Linked DNA regions of Coturnix japonica. The protein of the gene in region 1 interacts with the protein of each later gene in a pairwise test. Links are inferred from orthologs where the notes say so. Each region holds a gene or a part of one and is shown on either strand. Other genes may lie near its edges. The genes, in order: TNIK, SMARCE1, TRIM2, MYT1L, DPYSL2, myomegalin-like and PAFAH1B1.

The links.
Region 2: the proteins of TNIK (region 1) and SMARCE1 interact in a two-hybrid assay, tested with the Homo sapiens proteins (2 studies listed by BioGRID and IntAct). The link is inferred for Coturnix japonica from reciprocal best matches to the Homo sapiens genes TNIK and SMARCE1.
Region 3: the proteins of TNIK (region 1) and TRIM2 interact in a two-hybrid assay, tested with the Homo sapiens proteins (2 studies listed by BioGRID and IntAct). The link is inferred for Coturnix japonica from reciprocal best matches to the Homo sapiens genes TNIK and TRIM2.
Region 4: the proteins of TNIK (region 1) and MYT1L interact in a two-hybrid assay, tested with the Homo sapiens proteins (2 studies listed by IntAct). The link is inferred for Coturnix japonica from reciprocal best matches to the Homo sapiens genes TNIK and MYT1L.
Region 5: the proteins of TNIK (region 1) and DPYSL2 interact in a two-hybrid assay, tested with the Homo sapiens proteins (2 studies listed by BioGRID and IntAct). The link is inferred for Coturnix japonica from reciprocal best matches to the Homo sapiens genes TNIK and DPYSL2.
Region 6: the proteins of TNIK (region 1) and myomegalin-like interact in a two-hybrid assay, tested with the Homo sapiens proteins (2 studies listed by BioGRID and IntAct). The link is inferred for Coturnix japonica from reciprocal best matches to the Homo sapiens genes TNIK and PDE4DIP.
Region 7: the proteins of TNIK (region 1) and PAFAH1B1 interact in a two-hybrid assay, tested with the Homo sapiens proteins (2 studies listed by BioGRID and IntAct). The link is inferred for Coturnix japonica from reciprocal best matches to the Homo sapiens genes TNIK and PAFAH1B1.

What each region holds. Positions count from the first base shown.
Region 1 is NC_029524.1:17,292,535-17,297,391, reverse strand, and holds the start of TNIK (TRAF2 and NCK-interacting protein kinase), read right to left. Parts: upstream 3,104-4,857; 5' UTR 2,799-3,103; coding exon 2,742-2,798; intron 1-2,741. UniProt on the Homo sapiens protein: Serine/threonine kinase that acts as an essential activator of the Wnt signaling pathway. Recruited to promoters of Wnt target genes and required to activate their expression. May act by phosphorylating TCF4/TCF7L2.
Region 2 is NC_029542.1:4,150,089-4,154,174, reverse strand, and holds part of SMARCE1 (SWI/SNF-related matrix-associated actin-dependent regulator of chromatin subfamily E member 1), read left to right. Parts: intron 1-1,459; coding exon 1,460-1,631; intron 1,632-2,609; coding exon 2,610-2,782; intron 2,783-3,241; coding exon 3,242-3,343; intron 3,344-3,651; coding exon 3,652-3,862; intron 3,863-4,086. UniProt on the Homo sapiens protein: Involved in transcriptional activation and repression of select genes by chromatin remodeling (alteration of DNA-nucleosome topology).
Region 3 is NC_029519.1:17,657,505-17,662,096, reverse strand, and holds the start of TRIM2 (tripartite motif-containing protein 2), read right to left. Parts: upstream 3,116-4,592; 5' UTR 2,837-3,115; exon of another isoform or gene 2,776-2,836; intron 2,288-2,775; exon of another isoform or gene 2,177-2,287; intron 2,040-2,176; exon of another isoform or gene 1,648-2,039; intron 1-1,647. UniProt on the Homo sapiens protein: UBE2D1-dependent E3 ubiquitin-protein ligase that mediates the ubiquitination of NEFL and of phosphorylated BCL2L11. Plays a neuroprotective function. May play a role in neuronal rapid ischemic tolerance.
Region 4 is NC_029518.1:84,926,106-84,930,191, forward strand, and holds part of MYT1L (myelin transcription factor 1-like protein), read right to left. Parts: intron 3,672-4,086; coding exon 2,694-3,671; intron 1-2,693. UniProt on the Homo sapiens protein: Transcription factor that plays a key role in neuronal differentiation by specifically repressing expression of non-neuronal genes during neuron differentiation.
Region 5 is NC_029537.1:1,712,281-1,716,836, reverse strand, and holds the start of DPYSL2 (dihydropyrimidinase-related protein 2), read left to right. Parts: upstream 1-1,280; 5' UTR 1,281-1,623; intron 1,624-1,675; exon of another isoform or gene 1,676-1,951; 5' UTR 1,952-1,967; coding exon 1,968-2,318; intron 2,319-4,556.
Region 6 is NC_029523.1:4,150,603-4,154,688, reverse strand, and holds part of myomegalin-like, read right to left. Parts: coding exon 3,996-4,086; intron 2,967-3,995; coding exon 2,888-2,966; intron 2,357-2,887; coding exon 2,274-2,356; intron 2,097-2,273; coding exon 1,980-2,096; intron 1,438-1,979; coding exon 1,300-1,437; intron 973-1,299; coding exon 860-972; intron 142-859; coding exon 14-141; intron 1-13. UniProt on the Homo sapiens protein: Functions as an anchor sequestering components of the cAMP-dependent pathway to Golgi and/or centrosomes.
Region 7 is NC_029534.1:8,198,796-8,202,881, forward strand, and holds part of PAFAH1B1 (platelet-activating factor acetylhydrolase IB subunit alpha), read left to right. Parts: intron 1-48; coding exon 49-255; intron 256-1,394; coding exon 1,395-1,563; intron 1,564-2,622; coding exon 2,623-2,725; intron 2,726-3,403; coding exon 3,404-3,632; intron 3,633-4,086. UniProt on the Homo sapiens protein: Regulatory subunit (beta subunit) of the cytosolic type I platelet-activating factor (PAF) acetylhydrolase (PAF-AH (I)), an enzyme that catalyzes the hydrolyze of the acetyl group at the sn-2 position of PAF and its analogs and participates in PAF inactivation.

The DNA.
Region 1 (4,857 bases):
CTGCTAATAGCAACGCCAGGCCGTGGGGCTATTCACCATGCTGAGCAGACCAGCAGAAATACCTCCCAGCCTGGACAAAAGAACATTATAATGCAGTTTATCTTATCCCCTTGTCAGTGTAATACGCAGCACTACCTGTTCAATGGCCTCATCATTTTAAATTACAGTTTTCTGCAACATTAACAGTGCTCATTACCAGTGCTACGAAGACCTCTATTGTAAGAGCCCTCCTGATGCCAGAGCTTCTCCCTGCAGTCCTCGCTGTGCTGACACAGGGGACACCTGGCTACCATGGCAATGAGCGCAGGATAACATGATTGATAGAAATATGTTGCAAAGGAGGCAGAAGCAAGCCCGAGGTGTGCTCCGAGCTGCAGCAGGCCATGCACTGCAGTCAGAATTTGGTGCTTTGTTCCAGGCTGTGAGTGCATGAAGCAGCACAGCTCAGCCAACATAAACCCATGTAGCAAAGCACAAGTGCACGGGGGCTTTGGTGTCCCCTCTGCACCCAGCCCTGCACACACCTTTGTGCTCCATTCGGATGGGGCATGCTGGCAGAGGTCCACCTTCTTTATTTCTTTATAGGTGTTGGCATGTTGTTCTTCAAACCCAACCTCCTGGTACACCTCAGTGACTCAAACTTGGCGATAAGCAGCCCAAGAGCTTCCTCTCCCCACTGCTAAGAAGAAACTATTCTCCCCCCTCCTAGATTTTGAGTCACCCCAGCAGCCACCCCTCACCTCTCTGAGCAGACACAGCAGCAGCTCCCCCACCCAGACCCATCCACAGCACCAATCCCGACATTCCTCTCATCTTCCCATAAATGACATTTTGCAAGGCTCGGGGAATTACGCCCTGCTGCCGAGTTTTGTGCTCAGGCAGCAAATTTACTATTGATTTCTGATTCAGGCCCTGCAGAATGATTCACGCTTCTTGCCCGATCTGCTGAATTTATGACCTTTAACAATTATTCTAAGTGCTAAAAGAGCTTGGTTTGGAAGAAGATCTATTCCCTGGCAAATTAAAGCCCTATTCTTGTCTCCCTTATAAACCAACATATCTCTCATGATTTAAAAGAAAGCACCGTAACAGGTCTCTCCCCCCATCAGGAGACTGCCTCCTGGATACAGCCAACTTCTTCTAATCCTAATCTTATAGTGGGAGTCCAAAAATCCCAACTATATAATGGTACTCCCCAAACCCCCTTCCTGCAGGAGTAGCCCCCCTATGAAACCCTCCCAAGGGCTGGGCTGGGAAGTGGGGGGGCTTCGTGTTTTCATGCCCTGGGGGCTTGCAGACAGGCAGGGGTAGAGATTTCCTCATAAAATGAAAACAAAATCCAGGCTGCATCTTGAGCACAACACTATTAAAAAGCCACAAGAACAGAGGAGCTGAGCACGTGGGGGTAGTCTTAAAAGGAACTAGTGACCTGGTTCACATACAGCTAACGCTGATGGTTAAATATAGATACATACACGGCTAATGGGGGTGGGGGAGAAGCAGAGGGCCCTCCCTTCCCCCCCCAAGGACACCTCTACCCTTGATTAACCCCAGTGGTTCCAGCTCCCTCCCACCCAGCAGGGAAGGGACCACTGCAGGTCCCCTCCCCACAGGATGGCGATGGGTCCCAGCCTGCTGTGCACCACGTCCTGCTGAGCAAACACTCACACTATTAATCAGCCAGAAACTCACCAGGAAAAAAAGTAGGGCAAGTGAACAAAGACTGATTTTTGTTGTTGTTCTTTTTTTTTTTCTTTCCACTGAAACAAATACTATTTCTGATTCTAAAAACGTACTCGCACTTGTCCTTAGCTGGTTCTGCTACATTGTATTTCTTTCTCTACGCCAGCAGGTTGATGGAAGCAGCCTCCCATCAGCCTCCCACCCCCAGCACTGAGCTGCTGAGAGCGAAGGGATGGAGAGGAAAGGGGAAAAAGGAGAAGAAAAAAAACAATAACAAAAAAAAACTTGCAGGAAAAAGGCCTTGGGGGTGGCATCGGGCCACAGGCGGAAGCTGACACGTTCGACATTTCAAGGGTACGGCAGCAGGACAGCGATATCTCAAAGAGGGGAAGAGAGGAGGGGGCACAGCGGGCGCTGCGTGGGAAGCGGTGCGAGCATCCGCATCCCGCATCCCTCATCCGCATCCCACGTCCCTCATCCGCATCCATCCCGCATCCCCGGCCGTGCGTCCCTGCGTGCGATTAACGGAGCGCGACGAGACGCGGCGCTGCCCGTCCCCGCTGTGGGCGGGGGGAGCTCCGCGCGGCCCCCACCCCAAATCACAGCGGGGAGCGGCCCCACGGCGCCCCATAGGAGGGGCAGGAGGGCACTGGGCGTACACACACACACACACACACACGGAGCCGCGTGCCCGTAGGGTGCGTACACACATCAGGGGCACGCGCATATAGACGTGCGTGTGTGCAGAGCCACATTTCCATGCGTGCAGGCTGTACGCACGTACACTTACATACATGGGGGGACATGTACATGCTTTATCCACGCGTTTACACACACACACACGGACACAGGCACGTACGCTTGCACAGGAGCAGATGTACATGCACGTACATTAACACACACGGACAGACGCACACATGTCCATACCGACACGCACATGCACCTCCATAGGCGCAGGCACGTCCGCACACACAGCCCGGCGCTCCCGCACGTGTGCACCGCCCGCAGCTCGGCCCCGTTCCGCCCCGCAACCCTCAACCCTCCGCCGTGCTCCTCACCCGCAGCGCCGAGAGGTCGATCTCGTCCAGGCTCCGTGCCGGAGAATCGCTCGCCATGTTTCCTCCGCCGCCTCCGGCGAGGCGGCCCCGCCACCACCGAGCTGGCAGTGGCGGCCGGCGAGGCGCTAGAGCTATTTAACGCCTCCCCTCATGCGGGGCTGCCGGGGAGGGAGAAGCTGCCGCCGCCGCCCCTGCCCCTCCGCCCGCACCGCGGCACCTAGGGGCGGCTATAGGGGCCGCTATGGGGCGGCTATAGGGGCTGCCGGCGGGCAGGGCACGCCGCGGGCTGCGCCGGGATGGCGGCTGCGGCGCCGCATCGCATCGCATCGCCGCCCGCCCGGCCCAGCTCGCCGCCGGGGCCGCCTGTCAGTCAGTGATGGGAGGGAGGGGGCGGGCAGGGGGCGGGCGGAGGAGCCACGCGTGGGGATCGCGAGGCCTTTTGTCTGCGTGGGGCCGCGCTCCGTGTTGGGGATGGGGAGACGCTGCCCGGCTTTGTACGGCTCCGTGCGCGGCTGCGCCCCGGGGTTGAGCCAGGTATCGCATCCGCACCCCAAAGTGACCCCAAGATGAGCTGTCCCCAGCCATCGGCTGGGTCAGTGTGTTGCATTTGGCCGAGAGCCGTCGTCTAGAATTCATAGAATCGTTAAGGTCGGGAAAGACCTCTCAGATCATCCAGTCCTGTCCATCCACCACTGTTGCCCACTAAACCGTGTCGTAAAGTACTACATCTGTTCTCTCCTGGGAAACCTCCAGGGATGGTGATGGTGACTCCACTGATCCCAGGGCAGCCTGTCCCAGTCCCCATGTCTGACAGCTCCTTCTGGGAAGAAACATTTCCCAGTACCCAAAGGCAGCCTCTCTGCTGCAACTTCAGGCCATCACCCCTTGGCCTATCACTGTGAGCATTGGCCGACCCCCACCTCGCCACAACCTCCTCTCAGGGTGTTATACAGAGCACTAAGATCTCCCCTGAGCCTACTCCAGACTAAACAACCCCAGAAATGGCCCAAACCCCTCCACGCCCCACTAAGCAGACTCAGCACTGAGTGTTTTCCCTGTTTCCCTTTTTTCGGATGTAGTTTCTGCCAACCCAGGTGCCATGTATAAATATATATGTATAAAAAATCTGTTGCCTTTGAGAAAACCGTATGGGAGCTGTGCTGACAACATCAGCTCTCCCCGGCTCATGTCAGGATCTCACAATATGCAGAGCTGGGAAGTGGAAACCCTACACATGAGTCAACTGGCAGGCGGATGGGGTTTTCTTACACTTTGGGCTGGAGATGCGCTTTGTGCATTGCAAACGATCGCAGTTCATTGCAGGGAGGGTGGCAGTGAGGGGTTTTGGGTTGGGAAGCAAAGCCTGGTGCATGTGAGGTGCGTGGATGGGGTCACAGTGTTGGATGGCTTCATTCCCTTCATCCAACCCACAGATCCTCTACGTCTTGTGCAATGATCGGTCCTCAACTCTTTTAGTGCCTCTCTGTATACGCTCCTTCTGCCAGGAGCATCCAAACAAAACCTTGCAATTGGAGTTGTTATGACAGGAAGCAAAGCGCTCTGTTGAATCAGCCCAAAATGTTTTGCTGTGAGTCAGTTGAACACAAAAGTTGCACTTCCACCTGACGTGCCAGAGCAGGAGCTGGGGCACCTCTCCTACAAACAGCTTCCTGAGCTCCTTCCCCACCCCATGCTCAGCTCTGCAGAAACTGGGACCTTGGTGGCAAAGTGTTTGTGCCATTTCACCCCCTTTTGGAAGACAGAGACATATAACAGCATCAGCTTTTCCTACAGGATGAAGTCCCCAGCCTTGGTCAGTGAGCACCTTAATGAGCCAAAAAGAGCTCACCTGTTGGTGGTGCAGGGCTAATGTCGGGTCGGTGGTTTTGATTTATTCATTAAAGGGCATCAGCTCACATATAAACTATTCTGTTCAGTTGACCTCTGCATAAAATTAAATATAATCACCCAGCAGTTCCCCTGCTGCTGTGTTATGGGGTTGGATGTGGAATTAGTAAGTCTAAACAACGTGCAAGGCCTTGTCTGATTAGCAAGATCTTCAGGTGCTCCGTGTTTTGGATCCTTTATTTTGTCATTTAACCACTTTAATTCCCAC
Region 2 (4,086 bases), on another chromosome or scaffold:
GCTGATTCTTCTAGGAACTGGTCTGAGAAGAAACATTCATCTTTCCCGTGCAGTGGTGTATGAGGCGTTCACCAGACCCCCTGTATGTAACTTAATGGAAGTTGTGTCCTGACACATCTTTTAGACTTTTTTTTTTGTTACTGTACATCAGCTGTGACTGGTCAGTTTTTAGACCCAATTCAAAATGAAGTTGTTTATAATTGAGTGCCGAATTTAACTGTTTAATGAATGGATTTAATTGTACAACATCAGTGTTGAAAAGATTGCCTCAACACCAAAAGCCTCTTTCAAAACTGGTGCTCTGCAACTACTGCTGTTGAGGCATGAACGTGCTCATAAAAGACTTCCAGTCACGTAGGGTTTGCTTTCCATGCTATTACCTGGTGTATCTCCACGCTGTGGCGTGGTGTTTTGTTTCTTAGTCGAAAAATGATACCATTCTGTAGGGTTTTCTCTTGGTTTTGTTTTTATCTTCACAACAAAAGATGACAGCTCTGCCATGTCTCTAGGTTGGTAAGTGCTGAGGACTTTTACAAGACTGTTACTGTGATCCTGAACTACAGAGGGGAGCTTGTCCACCCGCTGCCTTGTAGTTAAACCTGGCTGGCATCCTGGTTGTGCACAGCCTGATCAAACCTGAGCTGTTTGATTCCAAGTCAGTAGAGAAGTACTTCCAACTCTTAGTTGAAACAAAATGAAGGAATTCTAGTCTCTTTAACTTGGTAGCAGTGTTTAGATTGTAAGCTCCTTGGGGCAGGGGCCATCTTGCTTGTGTTTGTCCAGTCCTAGTAATGAAGAAACTTGACGCCCTCAGGTATTGGTGCCAGGATCGTAGCTTATCTCATTTTTCATTGGAAATACCTGAAATCTCTGTACAAATTCTAGAGTAGGCAAATTTTAAGAGTGACCTGAAAGTAAACAATTCAAAGGGAAAATATTTCAGAGAAAGTGAAAACAGTGATGCAGTCCTGCTACCAGTAGTCTGGCTGCAGCACTCTGTATCATCCCAGTGCAGGGATGGATCAAAGAACGCAAAGGCATAAGTTATTTGGAAACTGGCTCATGGCATAACTGGAATAAAGAAAGAGAAGAAATGGAAATAAAAGACATAGATAAAACTCCAAAGAACTATTGAGAATATTTTAAGTCAACTCTTCTTTATTTGATCTGAGTTCATTTGATAAATGCCTCGTTCTGAAGTTTGACTTCAAATGACAAAAATAAAGCGTTCTTAAGACCTCTCAAGCAGTAAAAAGCAGCTAAAAACCCAACGCCATTTGGGCTGAATGATTGTGGAAGGAGTTCTGATATGTAAAACTTAAAAGCTGAGGGAATCTGGTGGTGTCTCAGTCAGGTAGTTCAGAAATGAAGTCTGTATAACTGAGTTTGAGTAACACCTATTTCTGTCAGGTCTGAAATTGTCCAGTGGTGCAATCAAACAATATTGGTCACCTTTCAGATTGAGTACAATGAGTCCATGAAGGCCTACCACAACTCTCCTGCGTACCTTGCCTACATCAATGCAAAAAGTCGTGCTGAGGCTGCGTTAGAAGAAGAAAGCCGACAACGGCAGTCACGCATGGAGAAGGGTGAACCTTACATGAGCATACAGCCAGCAGAAGATCCAGACGGTAAGCAGAAAACAGCCTGTGTGTGTGTGCAGGGAGACAGTCTCACCACAGGGCCTGTGGCATAAGCACACGCCAGACAGAGAAATTACTTCTGTGTAGCCTTCCTGGTGCTGAGTGTGACTTCCTTTTATTTCAGTACCTTCACTACTTTTATTTTGTATAGCTAACAGCTCCCAAAACCTAAGGTGGCAATGCAGTGATAAATCTACCAGCCCTTAATTGTGTATGAAGTGATACGGACAGTTCAAAAGAAATTCGTCTGCTTAAAGCTCTGTAGTGGCTCTAACAAATCAATTACCAAACGATGAGCCGCTTCCTTTAATCCAGCTTGAATGGAATCCTGCACTTCATGACCAGAAGAAGCACGTCGTTCTGATAAGCTGAATTCTGGCATGATTAGGAGCACCTGAACTTCAAAGGTTCAACAAAAGTCAATTGAGATTGTTTAGAACAGAGTTATCCTCACTGTTGACAAGTTGATGAGAAAATTCTGAAAGTTTATTTGACTGCAAGGAAATGCACCCCACCCAGCAGGGAAAATCCAGATTTGTGCAGTTAAAGTCTGCTTTGAAATTGGTGACCCCGTACGTACTTGTTGAAACCTGAGGGTGAGAAAATCTGCTCAGTTACACCCTGAGATAAAGCCTGTGGCAACAGCGCCTTCCCATGTGAGGTAACTGCAGAACTGATGTCAACATGTTCAGTGCTCCAAGCAGCTGACATTGTGGGGCTTTCATTTCTGATCCACACTATGTGGGCCAGAATTAATGCAGGCAGAGCCAGCTGTGCCAGCACCAGGATGGATCCACTCATATTTGGGATGAATTGCTCAAATATTTTAGGATGAACTTTGTGACACAAGAAAGCAGTGTTGGGCTTTGGTTTGTTTGTAGTCAGTGCTGATGTTGGTGCAGCCTCATTAGCCCCAGTGCTTGCTTTGGGGAATGAGTGCCTTTGTGCTTCCAACTCCTGTTTCAGATTACGACGATGGGTTTTCGATGAAGCACACAGCTACAGCCCGCTTCCAAAGAAACCATCGCCTCATCAGTGAGATCCTGAGCGAAAGTGTGGTTCCTGACGTCCGCTCTGTTGTCACCACAGCCAGAATGCAAGTTCTTAAACGCCAGGTTCAGTCTTTAATGGTTCACCAGGTAAAGATAAATGATGGGAGGGCAGCACGCCGAGTTGCGCGTCCTTTGATCATCCCTGTGCTGTTCTTGTTGGGTGTCTGTGCTTTGTGCGCTCCAACTGCTGATCTTGGGAGTGCCAAGATGTGAGATTTCATTTCCCATGGCCTTTTTTACTGAGAGTTACCTTAAGCTGAACTTTTCCTTGTTACACACAACCCTTTTAGAGGGTATATTGGTAGATTCGGTTGCTTATGACTGCAGTCTTGTAGCAGTTCTTTACCGCACAGACCCCATTTATTGTTCAGCCTTTTTTCCTTCTTGGTGTATGTTGGGTATTGGATCAAGGAAACATTTTGGTGTAAGGGTTTAAAACATGTCTGTGTTTAAATGTTGGTTTGAATATTGTTGTCCATTTCTTCAGAAGTAAAGCAGCTTCATTTATGACATTTATTAATTTTGTTACATTTATTACATTTCCAGCGTAAACTGGAAGCTGAGCTGCTGCAAATTGAAGAGCGTCACCAGGAGAAGAAGAGGAAGTTCTTGGAAAGCACAGATTCCTTTAACAATGAGCTCAAAAGGGTACGAGTCTCCTTCCCCACTTACTCTGAGCAATCTACTGGTTCCCTGCTCATACTGATTCTCTGCCCACTTCCATTTAGTTCCGTATTGTCTGTGATGAGATGACTGCAGTGTCCCAGGTCTGGTGGAGCGTTTGAGTTGCTTCTTCTGTAGTTTCTGAAGCTTTTAATGTAAACTTATTCAAATCACAATATTTATTGTGCACGTATTGCTGCATGTTGAGATACCGAGTAATAATTGAGTTTTCTTGGTGCTTTGTCTTTTCACAATGTAACTGGGTAATAAAAGAGCTTTTTTCTAATTGCTAGCTGTGCAGTTTGAAGGTGGAAGTGGATATGGAAAAAATCGCAGCTGAAATTGCTCAGGCTGAGGAACAGGCACGCAAGAGGCAGGAGGAAAGGGAAAAGGAAGCAGCTGAGCAAGCTGAGCGCAGTCAGAATAACACAGCAGCTGAGGAAGAGCCGGCAGCCAACAAAATGGAGGAGAAGAAGGAAGAGGAGAGCGCTCCGATGGAGACAGGTAACCACATTTCAAAGCAGCTTCAGAATCCCCAAAGAATCAGTATTAAAATACCTCCATAGAGCCTCTGCTTGGCCAGAGTGAGTGCCCCGGATTTCAGAAGAACATTCAGAACAGTTACCCTGGTGGACACAAGTGTTTGTTTTCCTTTAAGTTGTTCCTTTTTAAAAAGATAGAGAATATCACTAAGGCAGTATGTAATACTTTGTGTGAATGTACCCAAG
Region 3 (4,592 bases), on another chromosome or scaffold:
AACAGGTTAGTTTCCTGATCAGCCACACATACTGCTTTGCTACAGGCGGCCCAGGTAAAGGAGGAGGCAGTTTCACACCTCTCAGAATTACTTGGCAGGGAGAAAAATCAACAGTGCTGGTGATAAACATCACTGATCTAATTCTGTTTTGTTTGCAGAGGGTAAAGGTATCTGCGAGAAGCTGACATCATCAAGCAGTCAGACTTCAGTGCCTTCAAAGTAAGCTACAAAGCATCAGTGCATGTAATTACAAATGAGGCTTCACCTCCGGGCTGCAGCACCAACAACTGAAGGAGATTGTTTAATATTCAGTGTGTACATGCCTAAAAATCATTGCACACACTATCAGAATTTCACCATCCTGCTGCACATCAATGAGCACTGATTAGTTTTGATCAAAATCAATTTATATTGTGCATAAGCGATCTGGGAGGAAAACTGGCATTGGATGTAAAGTGCAGAAGCAAAGGCAAATAGGCTGCTTTTTTTGGACATCTTTCTGGATATTGCAGAGCAGATCTTCAATGATACAGCTCTGAAAATGTTTATCCACCCCCAGATCTCCCCAGAAGAACTTCTGAAATAATTCAGGACACATATGTATTATCTCTTGTGTGCTTTATAGATTTAGGCAGCAGCTTTCAATGTTTAATCCAGGCAAGAAGTAGATTAACTGCCTTCAGCTGAAGCCTTCCAGCTGACAACCCTTTTCCTATGCACATGGCATTTGACGTCTGCCGTTTTAACATTTTGACATTTTTGTGAGTGACATTGTCCTCAAAGCTCACTGCTTGCCTCAGCAGCTGGCTAGCTGTCAGTCAGGCTCAAGAAGATTAGCTCCACAGCTGTCATCAGAAATGACCATTTTCACAGCTTAGTTTCATGGAAACTACAAATTTCTGATATATTATATACATATATATATTTTTTCTCCTGTGTATGAGGAAAAAGGGAGAGGAGAGGAAGAGAAGTTCCAAAACCTCTTTTCAGCTGTGACAATGAAGAAAAGCATTTCTATGTATACATCTTCAAAATGAAGCTGAAGTACTAAGAAGTAGCTTTAAGACAAAAGGTGAACCAAACATACAACCTGCTATTAGAGACACAGTAGTAGTACTATGAATATCTTCACACCTTTCCTTACGGAGAACAAGTCTCTCTGTAGCTACTTAATGGCTGTCACCTGTTAACTGTTAGAGTTTTTCAGAAGGCTTGTAAAAAGCCTACAGCATGCCTAATAACAAATCATGTAAACAAAGCAAGAAGCATGACATAGCAACACAAACAAACCAGCTATATCCTGTATTTCTCATGCAATTATCTGATACATATAATTGTTTTCAATAAGCAGATTTAATTCACAGCATAAGAATTCACGACTCATAAACCCCATAGGACAACGGTACTACAGAAGCTTTGAATAAGAAAGGAAGTTAAACTTGATGCTGTTTCTTTCTTAGCACAAGATCAAAAAACCCCACTAACAAGTGCTGATTCTCTTCTTTATGGTATCACTGCAACACCGAGAAACCTAAAACTCCATTATTTCCCAGCCACCTTACTGTCCTGCCTCCATGCCACACATCAGATAAACATTCTTTTCATCTGCAAACAGAGTAAAATGGGTTAAAAACATGCACTACTCACCGTAATATGTTCATTGTTCTTAGCAGGTCAGATTTGTGCCCCTTATGATGATTATTTGTTTGCACTTCCCACAATAACACTGCTAAGATTTTTAATAAGTCCAGTTCTACATGTATGAATTTTTAAAGGTTCGAGGTGAAAAGTACCATGACAGAGTTCTCTCCTGCATGTTCACAGCAGCTTGTTAATGTTGAAGCTTCTTTCTCACTGCGTATCTGCTATTATCTAACATAGATTGTTTTCTGCCTCTCTAGAAGTACCTCCTGCATTTTCTTAGCTTCTCCCCTCACAAAATGGCAAGCAGATGTCCCCAAAAATCAACAAACAACTGCAAGCTATTTGTTTCGGAAAGCTTTCATACATCCCTTTCTCTCAGCAGCCTCTCCACTGAAAGCCGAAACAATACTGCAGAGAAACACTCACTCCCAGGATGTTTTCAGCTTTGGTCCCTCTGCTTTTCCAAGCAGAACACCAAGGTAGAAATCACAATTAGCACTCTGAAAGCAACGCACAGGCAAAGAATACTTACATTTGCCACTGTATTTGTAATATTTGTGCACTGTTCCAGCAATGGGTGATTACAAAAAGGAGAAAGAGCTTTTTAGTCTGTCTTTCAAGCCTCGCAGCAGTGAAAGGAAGGCTGTTATCTGAAAGCTACTGATTTTCTATATGCTGTGCTTGCTTCCCATGCACATACAACATAGCCGCCAGATTTAATAACCATGTCAGCCTGCTTTCTCCATAAAGCAGCAGAGAGATGACAGGATGAAGATGAAGTAGTCAGCATGTTAATCCATAGGCCACATTAAGCTTTAAATGTATGTCATCATTTTATTTCTCTTGCAGAAAAAAACAAAACCAATCAATGCTATTTGCAAAGAAAAACCATGTGCAAAAGAGTTTCAGAAATATGAATCTGTACTTGTCTTCAGTGACACACACTACATTAAAGAAACGGCTCTCTTTTTATCAATTAACAAATCATAGGCGTTAATTTCTTTGCAAGGCACCCTGATCTTTAATCATACATTTTGCCAAGCCACATGTGCTCATACCCCAAAAGAAGAAAACCATTATCTGACAAATTAGTCAAGAATCACTCCTCTTCTGAAGGAATTATTTCCATACCTGTTTTTGCTGACTTCTTTCAGAAAAGCAGAGTTAACAAAAGGGGGAAATTTCCATTTACCATTTAAATCCTCCCACATACAGCGGTTCCTAGAGCTCTGGACTTTCTTATCAGATGTGGTCACTTCAGTGTCAACATGGAGCACTCCCATACCTCCATCTGCACAACCAGTTCAATGGAAAGGAGGGGCAAGCAGAGTTTGTGTGCCAGGAGAAGGTGCCAGTCATACAGTCCAAATCTAGGAACTAGAAATAAACCCAGAAGTGTACGGCCGAATTTACAACAACGCAGGGATGCTGCAGAGGTCTTACAACATCTGTGCATGCCTCTTTCTCTCTCATTTATATTCCTTTCACTTCCCCGGAGGCACCTGTCTCAGCGGGGAGTGGTTTCTGTGGAAACTACCAATAGTTGGTTTTGCCCTTGGAGAAAGTGTTACTATAGCAACCTTATGTAATGTATATGGCCTAGATTCTTGTTCATAATAAGGTAATGCTGAAGTTCTCATTATAAAATTGGAGCAGATTTGTCTTGGAGGCAAGAAACATAATTACCTAAAAATTATTTTTAAATGTGAAATTCAAAGCACAAATGATATTGCAAATTAAATGAGAGTGTAGGGGGCACTATCAGAGCAACACTCACAAAAAACAAACAGAGAACCTTCTGAATTCCAGTAAACAAGGTCTGTTATTTTGTATTTGTGGGAGGTGAGGAGGAAGGAAGACATTCAGCTGACGTTAGGTCTCAGCACAGCAATCAATACTGCATACTGAAGTGCGGAGGATTTTTCAGCTTATTTATTCTTCCAGCAACAAGGATCTCACTACATCTGCTCTGTTCAAAACTGAAACATCAGCCTCACTGTTGCTTTATTGCACATTATGAAATGGTGCCGCATTAAAACTGAAGGAAGTTCCCAAAAGGAGCTGTATGAGTCAGCGAGGCATAGCACACAACAGAGCAGAACAGAAAAGGCAAATTGCTGTTTATAATTGCTGAGCTTTCTTCTCAGCTGAGAAGACAAACCTCTCCACAACCACAGCAGGGAGAGCAGATCAATCAGATCCTACCTGGGAGATGGGAAGATGAGGACCCTGGTACTAGGGCTGTGCAGGCTGAGAAGGGTTCTAAGTCAGCAGCTGAAAACCTGCATGGCTGGGAATGACATGAAGGGGTGGTCATGTAACAGACAGTTAGTGACCCCTGTGAAACAGGTAGAGGGTGTGCCTTCCTGCCAGCTATGCCTGTAGATAGCTTTTTTTACTGGTAAGAGACATGCAAGCCAAACGTTTAAGAAATCGGAGCTCCCTGTTTACACAACAACTATGACTTCAGTTTGAAGAATATTGCTGGGCAAGAGTTGTGTTTTAACCTGGCAGGTTAAACACCACATGGTCACTTGCTCACTTCCCTCACCTCCCAGTGAGAGAGAGTCAGGAAAACAAGTAAAGTATAACTTGTGGGTTGAGATAAATCTATTTTCTAAGATAGAAAAAAGAAAAAGGATAACAATTATAATTTACATATATATATATATATATATATATGAATGTATATAACAAGTGATGCACAAGCAATTGCTCACCACCCCTTGACTGATACCCAGATAGCTAAAATCCTTGGGCACTTTGCTAAGAATGGTCTTGGCTCTGTACAGCACTGCTTCACGGCAACTATAAATATCAGTATGTTATCAACATTGCTTTTCCCCTAGAGCCAAAACACAGTCTGAAGAAAACAATTCCACCTCAGTTGAAACTAAGACATGAGTAAAATCCTACCTTTGAGGTATCTGTGTTGTGACTCAGCAGAT
Region 4 (4,086 bases), on another chromosome or scaffold:
TCAAAAAATTAAAACCAAGGCCACAGAAGGAGTGAATGTCAAAGGAGGGAGTAGAAGTTTTGCCAAATAGGCCTGTGCTGAGACCACTAGAACATCAAGCCCACAGCTACATACATACACAGTTCTAAGCAACTCTTCATGTCAAGAACTTTTGAATGTATAAAAGTATTAGATATGTGAAAAGGTAACATAAATGAAATACAAATTATGTAAATATAACAACATTTGAGGACTGTAAAAAATGTAGATGATTAGTAGACCATAACGGCTTTTTATAGATTTTAATATAGAAGAACTTTACCTACTTCATGTTGCCATAGCTCCACAGAGGTTAATGAAGCTATTCTAGTTTGGAGCAATTGAGGATCCTGACACTTAAAGTGTCAAGACAATTCTCTAATGCATTCAAGACTGTGCTCTAAAGTTATTGCACGTAACAGATCCTTAGGAGCCTTTATGGTCTAATGAGCCAGAAAAGATGCTGTATACTCTTCATAATTATTTCAAAACTTACATAAAATTGTAAAAATTTCCCATTGCTTTTAATGGAAGACATCTGATTAAACTTTCCATAACTTTTTTACAGAACACTGGACAATCTTCTGCAAATCCTTTATTGACAAAGGGGAGAAATATTGCATACTGATATTTAATTCTGCAACATTTTTTCACTCCTTGTCACAATGGCTATTTTGCCTGAGTGATGGTTGTTACAGGACTCAAAAGGTTTTTAAATTCACTAAATTTCAGACAAAAGCTCTAAACTGCAGGGAAAAATTAGTTAGCAGTCCCTTAATTGTTCAAGTCAGAAGTCTTGAAGTATTTTTTATTGCAAACCTGGGTACCCACAAAGTTTCCACTTCATCATATCATATATCTCTTTGGATATCTTTTCTAGGAGTATTTGGAAGATTATATGTGAGTTGAGAACAAATGATATAAGCAGCTGTCTAACTTAAAGCTTCCTTTCTCAACAGCTACCTTCTTAATGTAAGGAAGGAATCATCTTTTCTTTCTTGCCTTAATTAAAGAAAGCATACAACTAACCACTCCAATATGTTTCTCAGTCCAAACTTGCACTACATATCTTGGTCCAAACACAACATTCTTTGGCCCAAACGACCACAACACCCAGCACAGTCTTTTGGTTCCCTGGCTGGGGTCTGGACCTATTATCATTTCAGCCTGCAGCTCCTAAAGGGCAGGATGTTTCAAAGAAGCTCAATAATTTACTGGAATATTAAGTCCACACTACTTCTTTTTCTTTCTTGGGAAAGGGCACCTAGTGTGTGATATATGTGAACAATATTTAAAACAACATCCACGTAGAAATGCAATAAACTAAAGTTGTCTTTCCCAAATACCCAACATCACAATAGCCTGCACCAGACCATATATATGTATATTTAGTTAAAACCAACAACACTTTGCTACAATACATCTCACAAGAGTATATGACTAGTAATTTCCATGCTTATCTAAGAGACTGGACATTACCTTTCTTAAAGTTTTGTTAAAAAAAAAAATATCAAAACCTTTCTTGGACCAAGATGTTTTCTGACTACCTGAATGTCTCAGGAGGATATTAGTCTTTCAAAAAAGAGATATATAAAGAGTAGGAAAATGCTCAACATCTCAGTTCATTTTCAGAAATGAATCTATTATTACAGTAACAAATAGAAGTCCCTACTTAGCAGCTCCCAAGAAATAATGGCATGTCCTCAACTTCCACTAAAGTCAATGGGAATTAAAGGTGTTCGGTGAATTTCAGGAGGTATCGAATAATTTATACAACACAGCACTGCAGGTACAGCTGTAGATATGTTACAGAGGAATGTGGTAAAATAATTACACCATAACGAGGATAATCTCATAAATTAAAAGTATTCCGAAGTTAACCTTTAGTTTGCCTTTTTTGATGTTTTTTATTTTATTTTATTTTATTTTTCTTCTGTGTGTATATACTCTGTGTGTGTGTGTCTGTCTTTTATATTGAATTATGGTCAAGGCAGCACCTTAACTGTTTCCACAATGGAATGAAACCAGTGAAGTGGAATGCACATAAGAAATAAATTGCTATTGATCTCAGCCCAGGCCACACCATGCCTTGCATAGCAAATGGTTTCCATTACCTTACTATCTTAAGATAATTAATGTGCAGTCACTGCCCCTATCTCATGTTATCGGTCATTCTGATACTGTTCAATTTCTATCAGGCAATTCTACATTTTAGATGGGAGAGGCTTCATCAATAACTGTCATTTGATGATAATTTTATAAATCACAATGCCACCTACCCAATCCAACCTGTAAAATATGCACTTCAAAGCTGATTGACTACCTGCTACCAAAACTCCACTCTCTCACATTTTTAATAATCACTATAAAATATATTAAATATGAGAAAAATCTTTGCCTCTTTCAACATGATCTCTTGTTTATTTCCCTGAAAACTTATTTTTTCAGTTTAGCCAAATGATATCCACTGAAATACTGTGCATATTTCTAACATTGTAGAACAAAATAATTTTTAATATTCACAGCATGAAACTAATTTACAATCATGCCATACTACCACAATTTAAACAAATTTAGCATTTTGTGGAATTAATAAATTCATTTCAGAATTCTATGCAAAACTTAACATGTTCATACTTTCTCATGACATAACATACGGTATATAGAAATATTACCTTTACCATAATATGGCTTTTTGACATGGCCGTCACTGGGTTTAGGCTTCCTGTCATCCCCAGAAAGTTGTCTTGGAGATTGTTCCTCAAATGATCTCATATTATCCCTCCTTCCAGCTTCCACTGCCATTTTTTCTCTCATGGCTTTTGCTCTCTCTGTTTCCAAAGCAATTGCTTTCTCAAGCAGGGTTAAGTTACCTTTTGTCATATCAAACACTTCTTCAGACCTATCTGAAGTAACAGAGGTGGTATCATCGTCTCTTTCATGACAACCATCCTCCTTTGCACAGCTAGAAAAAGTCCTAGATCTGGGGCTCAACTGTTCTTCAAGCCTCATTAGGTTCATCATATCAGAGTAATTCCGGTCTGGTGTTCTTCCTTGGAAGTCATCTTCTTGCCTGACATGCTGACGAGTGTTCATGTTTTGCTGTTGATTTCTTTCCTGTGGGTTTGTCTCACTGAGTTTCCTAGCCAGATCAAAACACTGGTTCCTTAAGCACTCCAAACTGCTGAGACACACCTCTTCATCACTCTCCTCCACCATTTTTTCCGTAAGTCCATTGTTCACAGGCTTCCCTAACATTACAAAGTTCATATTCCTATTATCTTGCTGAGAAGTATTGTCTGCATAATTTCTATCATTAATGTTTTCTGATAGCACTACACCATGTCCTTGTGCTAGTAATTTAAGGGAGTCCACTGTTTCCCTAACAACATCACTGTCTAAGTCTAAACTCAGCTCACTTTTCCGACCAATATTTTCATTTTTGTCACTATCATCTTCCAGACTATTAGATGTATTGCTGTTCATTTCTGATTCTGTCCTGGCTCTGTATGCTGCATCCTCAGCAATTTTACCAAGATTTAACAATGACTTGGCCACCAGTTCATCGTAATTATCATACTCATCATTATTGTTATCGTCTTTTTCTGTGTCTTGCATTATTCGAGTATTGTGACAATTCATTTGATGGTCTTCTGCATAAAAAACAGAAACAAAGAAAGAAACAAAGAAAGAAAGAAAAAGGAAAAGAAAAGAAAAAAAGTGGCTACAATTGGAACTGTTGTTGCAATCACATGGACAGAAAACAAACTGCATGTCAGATATTGTTAATTACACAGCAATTCTATTCAACTAAGGCCCATGTGCAGTTAAGTTTTATTAAGTGAATTTCTCTATAGTCCATAAGGTTATTTTTGTTTTCCTGCTATTCACAAGAATTTATTTCACAGTACTGATAAGATCAAGACAATCAAAATGCTGATTACTACTACTGATAAAATATTATGGCATACAAACTTCAGCTTCTCTTTCACACCTCTAAATTTAGTCTTATGGGGTTTACTGCAACCAAGTTACTAACAGAACATAATTGCCTAGGTTTCAAATGTT
Region 5 (4,556 bases), on another chromosome or scaffold:
GCAATGCTATGACCATTAATATTTATAAACCTTAAATAATACAGGACTTCAGGGTACCTGAGAGACCATATGTTGGCTTCCAATTCCCAGCAAAGCACCTGCGATCCTTGTGACCACAAGCCTGGCTGATCTTCTATCCAGGCCCCAGAAGGGGAAGGGTTGGAGCTTTCCCCCCAAGGGCGTCTGTCTTTGGCCTCCTCCCACCTTCATTAGTTACCAGATCACATCCCCATCATCATTCAAGGCCAAGCTGCAGGCTTCTTTCTTTCCTTTTAGTCTGGAGTCATAGTGTATTGTGTTGTGCATTTACTATGGAGTTTCACTTAGTTGTGACCTTGGGTGATTCTTCTTTCCCCCCCCACCTACTGGTAAAAATGCATTGAGTTGGGTATTGCTTGCAGGGAGAGAGAGCTCTGAGATTTTTTTTTTCATGATTATTATTTATTTATTGCTTTGGATATTGTTTTGGTCTGAGTCTTGCAAAGTCTTGCTAAGGTGCTGGGTAACCATTTGGACACAGATGCCTCTGAATTACCAGTTAATGTGCATGTGTGAAGATGCATATCAATGAATAATGCATAATAATACATAGCTTGGCGATTGGGTTTGGTTCAGAGCAATATTGCACACGGATTTAGCCTGAATCAGTGGTGTTAATAACGTTTATCAGGTAGAGACCACCAAATGAACACCACTGTGTGCTTCACCACTTACCTTTGCAATAAAAACATCTCTTCCCCGCCCCAGCTAACACATCTCACCCGGCCTCGCAGAAAATACCCCATAGTAACGACAAGAACAACTCTCCCTCTGATTCGGCACCCTTTGGGGCCGTGTGTTCAGCGATAAACCCGACGGAACGAGCCGGCGATGGTCCCGCTGGCTGCAGCAGCAGGAGGCGGCCTGGCCCCGCGGTGCGGGTGGTGCTGAAGGGACAGCTCCCGCAGGCCCCGCTCTGCCCCCTCCTCCGTACGGCTGCGGGCGGCCTCCCCGGGGAGGGTCTTGGGGGGCTTCTGGCATCGCCTGGGCTTAATTGACTTGCTAGGTCACTAATTTTCCTTTCGTGAGGTAAGTGCTGGTTAACGGCTCATCTTTCCCTCATCCTCTGTTCCCACACCCCTCTCCCATCTGTCTGTCTCTTTCACTCCAGTGCCATTCACTCCCCCCTTTTCCCCCCCTCCCGATTAGGGACTACCCGAGGTCCGGCACCAGCGATGCCCCAAACCCTAGAGAGATGAGTCAGCTCTCAGCCTCCCTCCGGCCCCAAAAGCCCAGCCGCGATCTCCGCCGCTCCCCGCCCTCCGGCTGCGCTGCCTTGAGAAAAGTGAGGAACAATAGGATTCCCGGAGCACTCCCCGACTCCACCATTGCGGGGCTGGGGGAGGTAGGAGAGAGGGTGGTGGGAGGAAGGAAGCGATCCTTTCTCCCCCGCATGGGGAACACGCCTCCGGAGGTGCGGGGGGTGCTCGGGTTCCTCCAGCTTCTCCGTAACTTGTAAGCGATAGCAACGCGTTGGAGAAGGCGACGAGCATCGATGGGGGCTGTTGCTCCAACCTGATCGAGTCCATTTGCCAATTCACCACTCGCATCACTTCCGGATCAGTCCCCAGTTTCTGCTGCAGAGTGAGGATTTTTTTTTCTTCTCCCTCCCTCCCTCCCCATCTGGATGCTGGGAACTTGAACCCTCCTCCCTTGATTGCAGCAGGATCTGCCCCAACCTTCCCTCAACTTTGCACTGCATCAAAGAAAAAGAGAGCGAGCCACTGACTATATTGTATCGATGGGGGCAGGGGATTTGCCAGGCACAGCCCTTTGCAATTGATGCTGCCGTGTCTCTAGGACCCGGAGCGATCTTTTTTTCCTCCTCTTTTTGCTTGTGTGTGTGTGTGTGTGTGTAGCGTGTGTGTGAAGGATCCTCCTGGTTACTGCTGTTATTATTTCCCGTTAGCAGGGAGATCACACAAGCCATGGCTGAGAAGAAGCAGTCTGGCCGGCAAGGAGAGGAGGAAGAAGTACCAGCCTTCTTCAAAAACCTGGGCTCGGGCAGTCCAAAACCTCGGCAGAAATTCTGTGGCATGTTCTGCCCAGTGGAAGGCTCCTTGGAGAACAAGACCATCGACTTCGATTCCCTGTCGGTGGGCCGCGGATCTAACAAAGTGGTGGCAAAGCAGAAGGATGTTGCCCACTTGGGTCCGGATGCTCAGTCCGTCTATTCCAGGCAGAGTGGAAAGGGAGGGGAACCATCTGTTGATTTCGGAAGAAAGGTGGAGATCAGGAGTGCCACTGGGAAGGAGGCACTGCAGAACCTGAATGACAAGGTGGGTGCACATATATATATATTGTCTGTGTGTGTGTGTGTCTGATACAGAGATGCAACTTGCACATGCAGTAGGCTGCAGGAGGGATATTTCATTGCCACCCTGCGGTTTCCTGCTTTTATCACTTGCATGTATGTAGCAGTGTCTTCCCCCTAAGGAGCAGCATCTCTACTACAGCCTTCTTGGCAGACCTTTAATGTTATCCTTGTGCTCTCTGCAGGTGTGTGTGTATGTGCACGGGGAGGAGGGCAGAAGAAGAAAGGAGCCCCTGCACACACAAACACCCTCCCTTTCCCCGCCCTGCCTTCCCATTTGGTGGTAGAGACTGACTTTTTTTGTTTCCCCAGCACAGCGGTAGCAAAAAATGCCCCACCCAGATAGTGAATGCAGCTCACGGGAACAGAAACGCATTTGTAAGCAACAGAACATCAATGAGCCTCCACCTACAGGGATCCATTCCCTGCAGGTTTCTTGCAGGGGAAGCTCAGCCATGCACTCCTACTCCTCCTCCCAGGGGAGGAGAGACTCCGAGTGACCCATGGGAGCTGTATTTCAATACCAATTTTGATGAAGGCCTTTGGCTACAAAGGGCATTTTTGCCTCAGGAAAACGTGCCAGGACTTTAGCAGAAATGTGCTGTTCTCTTAAGAAATCTACTGAACTCCTCCCAATCCTTTAAGACTCCTGAAGCTATTTTCTCACTCTTTGTATGTGTCATTGTATAATAAACCTATCCTTTTCCTGAGGCAAAAGCCATTTAAGCCACATGGTTCAAGCTGACCATGCACACTTTTCCCCCCTACCATAAATAGATTTAAATAAGCTTTATTCATATCTGAGCCGTGAAATACTCAGTGTGTTCCTCCAACAGCGTTGGCTCCTATGCATAGCCTGGAAGAGCTGGAATGAATGAAGCACCAACCAGCAAAATTTCTAGTAATATACTGGGATAGAGTTTCTGTGAGTATTGCCCCAGTGGGTTTAAAGAGCAGCACTTTCTTCTGAGATGAGCCTCTTGATTTTCACTAGGGATATGGTTTGCATGCACAAGGTTGGAGTTTGCCTGGGATTTGTAATATGGGCTCGTTCCCTGGTTTCAGTTGCTGTATTACCAGGAGCATTGCTGGGGTCTTACCCTCCCCACGTCGGACCCTTCTCTGATTTTTCCTACTACAGTAACCTGAAGGCTCTATCCAGACATGCTTATAACAGCTGTGATTTACTGTGAGATCACAAAGGTAGGCCCTGATTTACAGAAGTTCTACACAATCAACCTCATCAAGTCAAGCGAAAGTTTGCCTCTATTGATACCTATGGTTTAATTTGAATATGGTTATGATTCTGCTCACCTTCCATGGTTAATTATTTGTCTTACACTGGCAAAGGAGAACCATAGGAATAAAGGCCATATATCTTGGGAAGTCAAAGGTTTTGCAATATGGGGCATTTTCAGGACTAATTTAGAACACTTTGATGTCCTAAAGGATGGAAATATAAACAGGTAATGTATTCATTCTGAAAAGATTAATTACTGTGTGATTGAGGGGTACAGTATATTGAAAACTGCAAGTATAACATGGCAAAAAATCAGATGTCTACACAGATTATTGATCACATTTCTGTAAAAGGGCTTTATTTTGGTTGTTTTTAAGGCTTGTCATAGAATGTTAACTGTGAAGGTATGAAATAATGGGATAGTGAAATATTGGAGTTGTTTCTTGTTACCTTTGTGTAGCACTGGTGCCAGTGGATGTGCTGTGAGGGACTGTGTGCATTTGGGTAAGTGCAGTCTTTTATTAGTCTTGCTATGGATTGGCACTTTATAACGAGAGTGTTTTAGCTTTAATGGTTTTCCAGCTGACTGCATCTATAGCTTGAATCAATGGTTAGATTCTCAGCAGGTAAAGCTGGCTTTGCTTCAGTGCAATTAGTAGGAATGCATTTAGGATATGATCAAATACATTACACTAAAAAATACTGCAGGAAATGGCATTAAAAGCAACACTGTATTTAAATCAGGTAGGAGTTGAAATGCTGAAGGCCTTCTGAAATTCTGCAACTGGATTTGGCCCAGTGTTTTCAAACCTTCTTTGGCTATTGGATGCTATTTTCATGTGATGTGAATCTAAATTGTAGGGGAAAGAAACTGTGTTCTAACAGATAAGATCTTGAAATTATATCAAATGCTTCATTTTCTTTAGCTTGAGGCTGAAAATACCTACAGACATAGAGGATGGT
Region 6 (4,086 bases), on another chromosome or scaffold:
TCCTGTTCCCCACCTCCTATGGGGCCCTGTGTGTCCAGCCTGCTCAAACGCTCCAAGCTTCTTCCAAGAGCTTCTTCCAGCTGTCCCCGCAGCTCTTGGACCCCTTCCAGCTCCACCTGCAGAGTGCGGTCTCTCGCAGCGCTAAGCAGACATACCACACAGAAAGGAACAGTGTTAGATAGGTGCAGCAAGTGCACACACACCAAACCGGCTCCTCCATCCAGGAGTTCCACTCACCGCAGGTGCAGGCCCTGCACACTCCCATAGGTGGCTTGGACACCTCTTGCCTCACATCACAGCCTCCCCAGAGCCCAGCCATCCCCAAAAAAGGCTCCAGCTCATGGTAGGAGACCCCTAGTCACAGCTGTTCTTCAGTACTTACCAAAGCACTTCATGTACGTGCTCTCTTGCAGTCAGGTAGCTCAAATATCCCAGAGGCTGCAGCCCCATGAAGGGCAGGGGATTAGCACAGAGGACAAAGAATGCAGTGGTATGCAACTGTGGGACAGCCTCCTAGATAAGAGCCTAGACACATCTCTATCAACCCAGCAGTTGGTGAGGAATTTGGCAGGGTGAAAACGGCAGCCTCTGAAATATGGCCAAATGTGTGTGGGAAACTGAGCAGGGACTGAGTAAGCCAAGGAACGGGGATGGAAACCTCAGGGCTTGAACAAGAGACAGCAACGGGAGGAGGTTATGTATCATTTAAAGCTGGCCACTGCAATCTCCTTAAGGAAAAGAGGTAGCCTAAGATCTGGACTCCTAAAACAATCATTGCTTCAGGAGTTGCCCCACTGGCCCACGCACACAAATCCCGGCAAAAAACAGGGCAGCATGGAGCCAAAGCAGCTTTGCTTACCTGTCTGGGTGTGTGTGAAACTTTACCAGGCTGCTGTAGAGCTGCCTCTCTGCCTGGAGAGCCTCATTTAGCCGATTTCTCTCAGCCACCAGCCCTTCCAGCATCAGTAACAACTGGTCAGAGAGAACAGAAAAGATGTAACACATAAGTCAAAGGTACTGGCTGCTCAGGGATATGGTGGTCTCCCCTACCAGATGCACCAACACCTCTCCTGCTTGTATTGAAGCAATCAAGTACTGCCAACCCTGGACACCATCCCCCAAAAGTCTATACCCTTGAGACAAAAAAGGGAACCAATCCTTTGCTTTCCCTATATTATATGCAGCCAGCTTTAAAGAACATGCACACCTCAGCATATCCAACAGCTGAGAATAAAGCGCTATAACTGAGCACCAGATAAAACACAAATACATTCAAACTTGCCCTGCAGGACACACTACCTGCTGCCTTCTGTTTCCAGTAGCCTCTTGTCCTCTCGACTCTGCTACGGCCACTTTCTCACGAAGTACCAGCACTTCTTGTGTCAGCCGTTCCACTGCTGGAATTTCTTCAGGATCTACCAGCTGCATCTGCAGATCCTGAAAAGCAAGAGGCAGGAGGGATCTGTGGAGAAGGGATCAATAACAAGGACAGCTGGAACCTTGTGACCCTCCATGGAATGCAGTTACCAACATTTTTCCAGTGTTAGAGAAGACCCTGGTCTCCTAAGAAAGAAATGCCAATGTATCCAGTGTGTATTAACCATAATCAACTGCTTGAAGCAAGAATTAGGAAGGAACACAACATCTGTTTAAAGTGCTCAAGAAAGTTGCAAGCAAGGAGCAAAAAGTCTAATAATGACACTCTCAAGATTTGGGGCCCATAACTTCTGGCCCAAATCGGAGGGCTGTAGGCAAACCAAAAGCAAAACTATACACAAACAGCCATGTTACTCTGAAGAGGTTCCTTGCATTAGCAGACATACTTGGTCATAGATAATCATAACAAGCCTACAGCTTGGTTTCTGATGTCTTGTCATTCATTGGAAATGAGTAACCATGAAGGACAGGATGTGGGGAAAGAAGAGACACCTCTGCAGCCATCTCAGAAGAAGCTGACCCAGCAAAGCATGTTACCTCACCTTGATGAGGTCCTCTTTGATCTGGATGGTTCTGGTCAGAGACTCTATATCAGAAGCCTGCACCTGCAGCTCTTCCTCCTGCGTGGTCACAACAGACTGGAGAGCAGCAAGCTCCCGCTAGGTACAAAAGAGGAGAGTATGAAAAACTTCAGAAAGGTAAAACCCCACTGTGCTGCCCTATCTCTCACTGAGGCACACTCATGTTGGGGAGGGGGGGTCCAAAATCTCTATAAGGGACAGCCCAAGGGTTCCCTGCAGGCAGGAAGACCACCACAGGCTTCAGCACAAACTCACTCTGCTCTCCCTTTCTTTCTTTGCCATTAGCTCCAGTTCCTCTCTGGCATTAGCAAGATCCTTCTCCAGTTCTGCTGCTGATGCTGCAATTGCAAGGACAGTTGGATTACTGCAGTGTTACCATATGTCAGCTGCTCCCTCTGACTGCAAGATTAGACCAGTCCACAATGATTACACTCCCCACCACACCACCTCTTCTTAAACACCTTTCTTCCCTACTTAATTCTTAAACAGCAGCCCAAGACAATAGAAATACCCCAGGCCTCCTGTCTTCACTCCATCAAATATGACATGTCCTGATCTTAAGGCACAACCCAAACCAGCTGCATTATTCTCATTCTAATCTGAACCACTAAGTCAAAATCCCTACCCTGAACGCTACAAAACTTCTTGCAATGAAGAAGTAACTCACCTTAAATCAATCTCTCTCTTTTCCACACACCCACCCCCAAGACATCTGTGAACCTTCATCCAAAGGAGAGGCACAGTTTTATTTCAACACACTTGCTGTTGCTCCAAGCTCGTCACTCTCTAATGGCTTCATGTAAGCATGCTTACCCCACAGCAAAAAAGTCCTGACTTGTTTGAGGACCTTGAGAGAAGCTGTCACTCACCTTCTTCTGTCAGGCAGCTGTTGTCCTGCTGTGGGGGTCCAGCAAGGGCTGCAGCTCCACAAGCTCTTTGCAGTATTTCCTGAAAACACAAAAACCTCCACGTTTGCACCTTTACAGAGAACCTCACAGCTACCCCAGGGCCCATTAGGACTGCAGCAAATCTGCTGGCTGCTTTGTTGATGCCTCTAAAACATGACAAAGCAATAACAGGAACTAGTCAGACAGCAGGGACAAGAGAGTTGCACACAAGATGGAAGCTGCATGTTTGGGCAACAGGGCTCTAGCCTTATTTTATTTCTCACTAAGAGGCTGCTGGCAGTAAGCTTCATTATAGTCAGGATTAAGCAAGTTTTGCTCAACTGAAGCAACTACAACTTTCAACTGAGATTCTGCACAGACCTATATCTTCATCCAAAGATGTGGCCCAGAGGAACTGTGCAGGTAGGAAAACATAAAGCTTGGCCCAAATATCACATATTGGGATGTCTCCAGAGCTCACTTTCATCCTGGGAATAGAAGTGAGCCACCTGCTTGCAGCTGCTTAAGAGCGTTCAACATGTCATCTCACCGATAAACCATTAACAGCTGCTCAAGCAGGAACAGGGCTTATGTAGCCTTACAGTTGTGCTCAGCCTCAAAGGGTTTTTTAGCAAAGCTGCTTTAAAAATACCAACCCCAATTGTGGAAGAGACAGTAAACACCCAGCAGGCTCTGCCAAGAATTAGTGAGACCTAAAATTAGCTCCCTTGTCCCCTCCAGAATGTGACAATGTCAGGGAGGGGATTACAATAAAGCAGCACAGCCCAGCCCAAGGAAGGACTGGGACAGTGCTGGAAGGTCAGGAGGTGGATTTTTTTCATACTCACTTGTGCTTATTGCCTGATCAAAACAAGAGTGACACTGAGTGACAAAAGCCAGTGGAATCAAGGTCAGAGTGTCCAGGCAACATTTCTGCTCCTCAGTTCCTCTGTCCTCCTAAACCTCTTTCCTAATCCCACTTTCAGTACTATCATTCCCTGTGGCACTCCCCTATCTCAGTTCCTCCCGTGGCAATAAGCTCCCTCTGGAGCCCCAAGGCCACAGGAAAAACACTGTACATGATCCTTACTTGTACAGGCTGTTGCTTGTCCTGCTTCAGCAGACTGGTACCAGTTGCCTGGATCCCGACAGGCTCCTTCCTCAACACATGCTGGCGCAAG
Region 7 (4,086 bases), on another chromosome or scaffold:
TGGTGTAAGGCTATACATAACTGGTCTCTTTAAAACCCATAAACTTAGGTAATGGAATTAGAATCGAAGCTGAATGAAGCTAAGGAAGAATTTACATCAGGTGGGCCTCTTGGTCAGAAACGAGACCCTAAGGAGTGGATTCCTCGTCCTCCGGAGAAGTATGCTTTGAGTGGACATAGGAGTCCTGTCACTCGAGTAATTTTCCATCCGGTTTTCAGTGTAATGGTTTCTGCTTCAGAGGATGCCACAATAAAGGTATGTGCTTGCTGGAAAAAATTAAAGGAAGCTGCTAAGAATGTAGCATTAGAATTTCATGGTGGATGTGTGTTGTAGTGATGAAAGATTGCTCCAGATTCTGCTTTAGCTTCATTAGGGACAGTTATTTCAAATGTGATTTCTGGTATAATATATGAATTTTGGTTTTATACTGATCCAGTTAGTATCTGCAATTATGTTTTACCGTGACTTGTGAAGAAATACTTAAGCTACTGTGGATCGGAGACTGGAACAATAAATGGGGGAATACGTTTTGACTGCTCTGTAAGAGGGCATAGGGAGCATACAGAGATGAGAGGGAAGAAGACAGTGGCCTCAAGTCATCTAAGTCTTAGAGTAGAGTGGTTATGCAGCTGTATTCTTAACTGAAAAATGGTTCTTCCCATTTATTTTAAGTGACATGTGCAGGTCCCGTGAGGTTGCTATGACTTTCAGGAGAGACTTTCAGTAATTCTAAACAATCTTCACACACCTTTATTGCAGTATACAGTGACAAGAACAGATTTGTTGTAGTAGGCAAGTAGTTTCTCATTTTAGCACCAAGCAAAGATATAATTGTGCATTTTGTTGCTCTCTGAATGTCACTGTTTAAGAGAAATTGCCATCTGTGTTGCTTTGAAAACTTATTTGGGAAAATGCAGTCCTGACAAAGGTTGAAAGGTATTGAAAGTAATGTGCTTAGAAATGTAAATTGTTCTGACAGTGAATGTGGTTATTTTAGTTGTGGTTTGGGTTCTCATCCCTAACCCAGTATTTTCTGGTTATTGCTCTGCAGTAGACGAAGTGTTTGCTGTTTGACTCTGAACCAGTGAATAGTTTCTGAAACCACGAAATAGGAGCAGGGGGAGTTTTTGAAGGTGCTTCCCCCACTAGCTGAAAACAGGCTGTGTACCAGAGTTGAGGAAAGAGTACAAAAAGATGTATAGGATATATGAGTAATGATCACATTAAAACAGTGCTTTTTTCAATGTTATTAGGCTTTTCTAGGTCTTTCTTTGTTTCTTGCATGTTCAGTTATTGAATAAGGTGCCAGACTAGTTTGTAGAGTGCAAATGTAAAGCTGGAGAATACAGTGAGTAATAATATATTACTGATAACGGATTTTATTTGCTCGTCAGGTGTGGGATTATGAGACAGGAGACTTCGAACGAACCCTTAAGGGGCATACAGACTCTGTGCAAGATATTTCCTTTGACCACACTGGCAAACTGTTGGCCTCCTGTTCTGCTGATATGACCATTAAGCTATGGGATTTCCAGGGCTTTGAGTGCATCAGAACTATGCATGGTAAGGTTTTAAGGAAATGGATTTAACAGTCTGTGAAGTAGAGGTATGGTTTTGTTTTGTGGTGGTTTGGTTTTTATGAATGAGGAAAACTGTAGATGTGGCAAGGGGAAATAAACTAGAGTTTTACTCAAAGCAAAGAGGGTTATTTTAATGCTTCAACTGTTCTGTAAAATGGAGTATATATTCAGTGTCTGTGGAATGAAATAGCATCTCAGACCTATATGCGATGCTGTGGGGAAACACCCCATAATGATACTGAAATGAAATGGCAAATACAGAGGAGATGTGCACTGAAAATGATAACAAAACTATACTGTCAAATCACTAGAAAGCTGTCTTCATCTGCACCCCTCTGTTTGCAGAATGCGCTGACTCAGGAAGTAAACAGGATGGAAAGTGTTCTCGGTATACTGTACAGTCTTTTGTTTCGGACTTGTCAGATTTCAAATGAGTGTACCCATTGCATTAGACTCAAAAGCCATAGGGGGGAAAAATGGGGAAGTAAGATAACCACCACATGGATTCCAGTTATTGACAGCAATTTGTTGTTTTGTAAACTTGATATAAGAACATTTTATACTGCTTATCTCACTTCAATATCGTCTTGTAGAAGTGATAAGCAGTAATAATGTTTGAGAATTTTTATGAAAATAAATATGCCAAAGAAAAAGACCTCATTTCCTTTGAAACATTATCTGTGTGGTGCATCATAACACTGTAATCAGGCTTACCTGGTGATTTCAAATGCAGACACATAAGCTGTGGGGTTTAGCAACTGTTACCAAGCAAATGTTGTTTTTAGTGCTGATTGTCTGTTTTTAAATAACCTGAAAGACATTTTTGAAATCCTAAAAGTTGCTCAAGAGCTGGACTTCATGGTTTCTAAAAATATAAGTGACTTCTGTAAAACTTCAGGCTTGTGTTCAGTGGTTATTCCATAAAGCATGCTAAAGGCTTCTGCTGTAGCAACTTGATCAAGATGAATGAATAGCAGATCCTGTATGCTCTGTAAAAACAATATCGTAGTACCACTTAATAAAAGTTTGCTTTTCCTTTTAGGTCATGATCATAATGTTTCTTCGGTAGCCATCATGCCCAATGGAGATCATATAGTTTCTGCCTCGAGGGATAAAACTATCAAAATGTGGGAAGTCCAAACAGGGTGAGTGAAGTTTTGGGTGAACATCATTACGTAAAGAAAACCCACAGAAAAACACTTGTAATAGGAGATACAGCATGTGCACCTTAACACAGTCATAAGTGGATGGGTTCTGCATCAAGTTATTAAGTGCAGGGTGTGCACCACTCATTAAATGTATCTGGTTTTATCTTTCTGGGAGCTGTGGAGGTATAATGCTGTAACTCAAGACCAGGTAGGAATTTAATGACTAATAGCAAATTCAGAGGGATTGTGACAAGTAGGAGGAGAAATCTGCTATCTTTCTTGAAACAGGAAGATTTTTTTTTTGCATTGTGGTCTGCTTTGTTATTCAGTAGTCTCTCCGACCCATGCATTTACTCCATGTTGACTGTAAAGGCTATCTGAATGATTTGTAAATCTCTATATGTTTTTAAAATACCTATGTAATGGAAGTTAGAGTGTCAGCAGCCTCCTGTTTTTCTCCCTTTAAAAGTATTTGCTGGCTCTTAACTGCTTGTCCTTTTTTCATGCAAGCTTCCTCCCCATGAACTGCTTTAGGGCCTTGCACATCAGTCAGGACTGATATTCCTGCTAAAGTTTAACTCGAGAGGAGGTCAAGTGTCCTTACATATCAAATGCAAGCATAGTGGCTTTATTGCAGTGCTTATATATCATTCTGTATTTCTCTGTTTTGAATAGTTACTGTGTGAAGACTTTCACGGGTCACAGAGAATGGGTGCGCATGGTGCGGCCTAACCAGGATGGCACCTTAATTGCCAGTTGTTCTAATGACCAGACAGTGCGTGTTTGGGTGGTAGCAACAAAGGAATGCAAAGCTGAGCTCCGAGAACATGAGCATGTGGTAGAATGCATTTCCTGGGCTCCTGAGAGCTCATACTCCACCATATCAGAAGCTACAGGATCAGAGGTAATGTTTCCAGTGCTAATATTTAACTTTTGAGTTTTGTTCTCAAAGCACTCGGCAGGCATAGCAGGTGTTTTGGAAGTTGGTGGTTGTTTTTTCATTTTCACTGCTTATACTTGTTGCACCGTTAATCCCCCATCTTGGCTTTGTAGTCACTGTGCTCTTCTTTTAACAGTAGGGCCCTACCTATGCACTGATGAAAGGGACATTTAGAGAGAGGCTCTGTTTCAGAGAAGGCTGAGAGTTGGACCACGCTGGCAGACTTCCATGAAACAATGTGAAAGGCAGCTCAGCTAATGTAATGTGAACATTGTGAGGATACCTGGCAGTGAAAGGTGTGGGGAGAAGAATAGCAAGTTAAAAATGCAGAAATGAATCTTCCTTGGGTGTAATTCAAAATGCTGTTGAAATTAGATTAACCTTTGACCTCAGTTTCCTAGCGTACAAAGTTAATCAC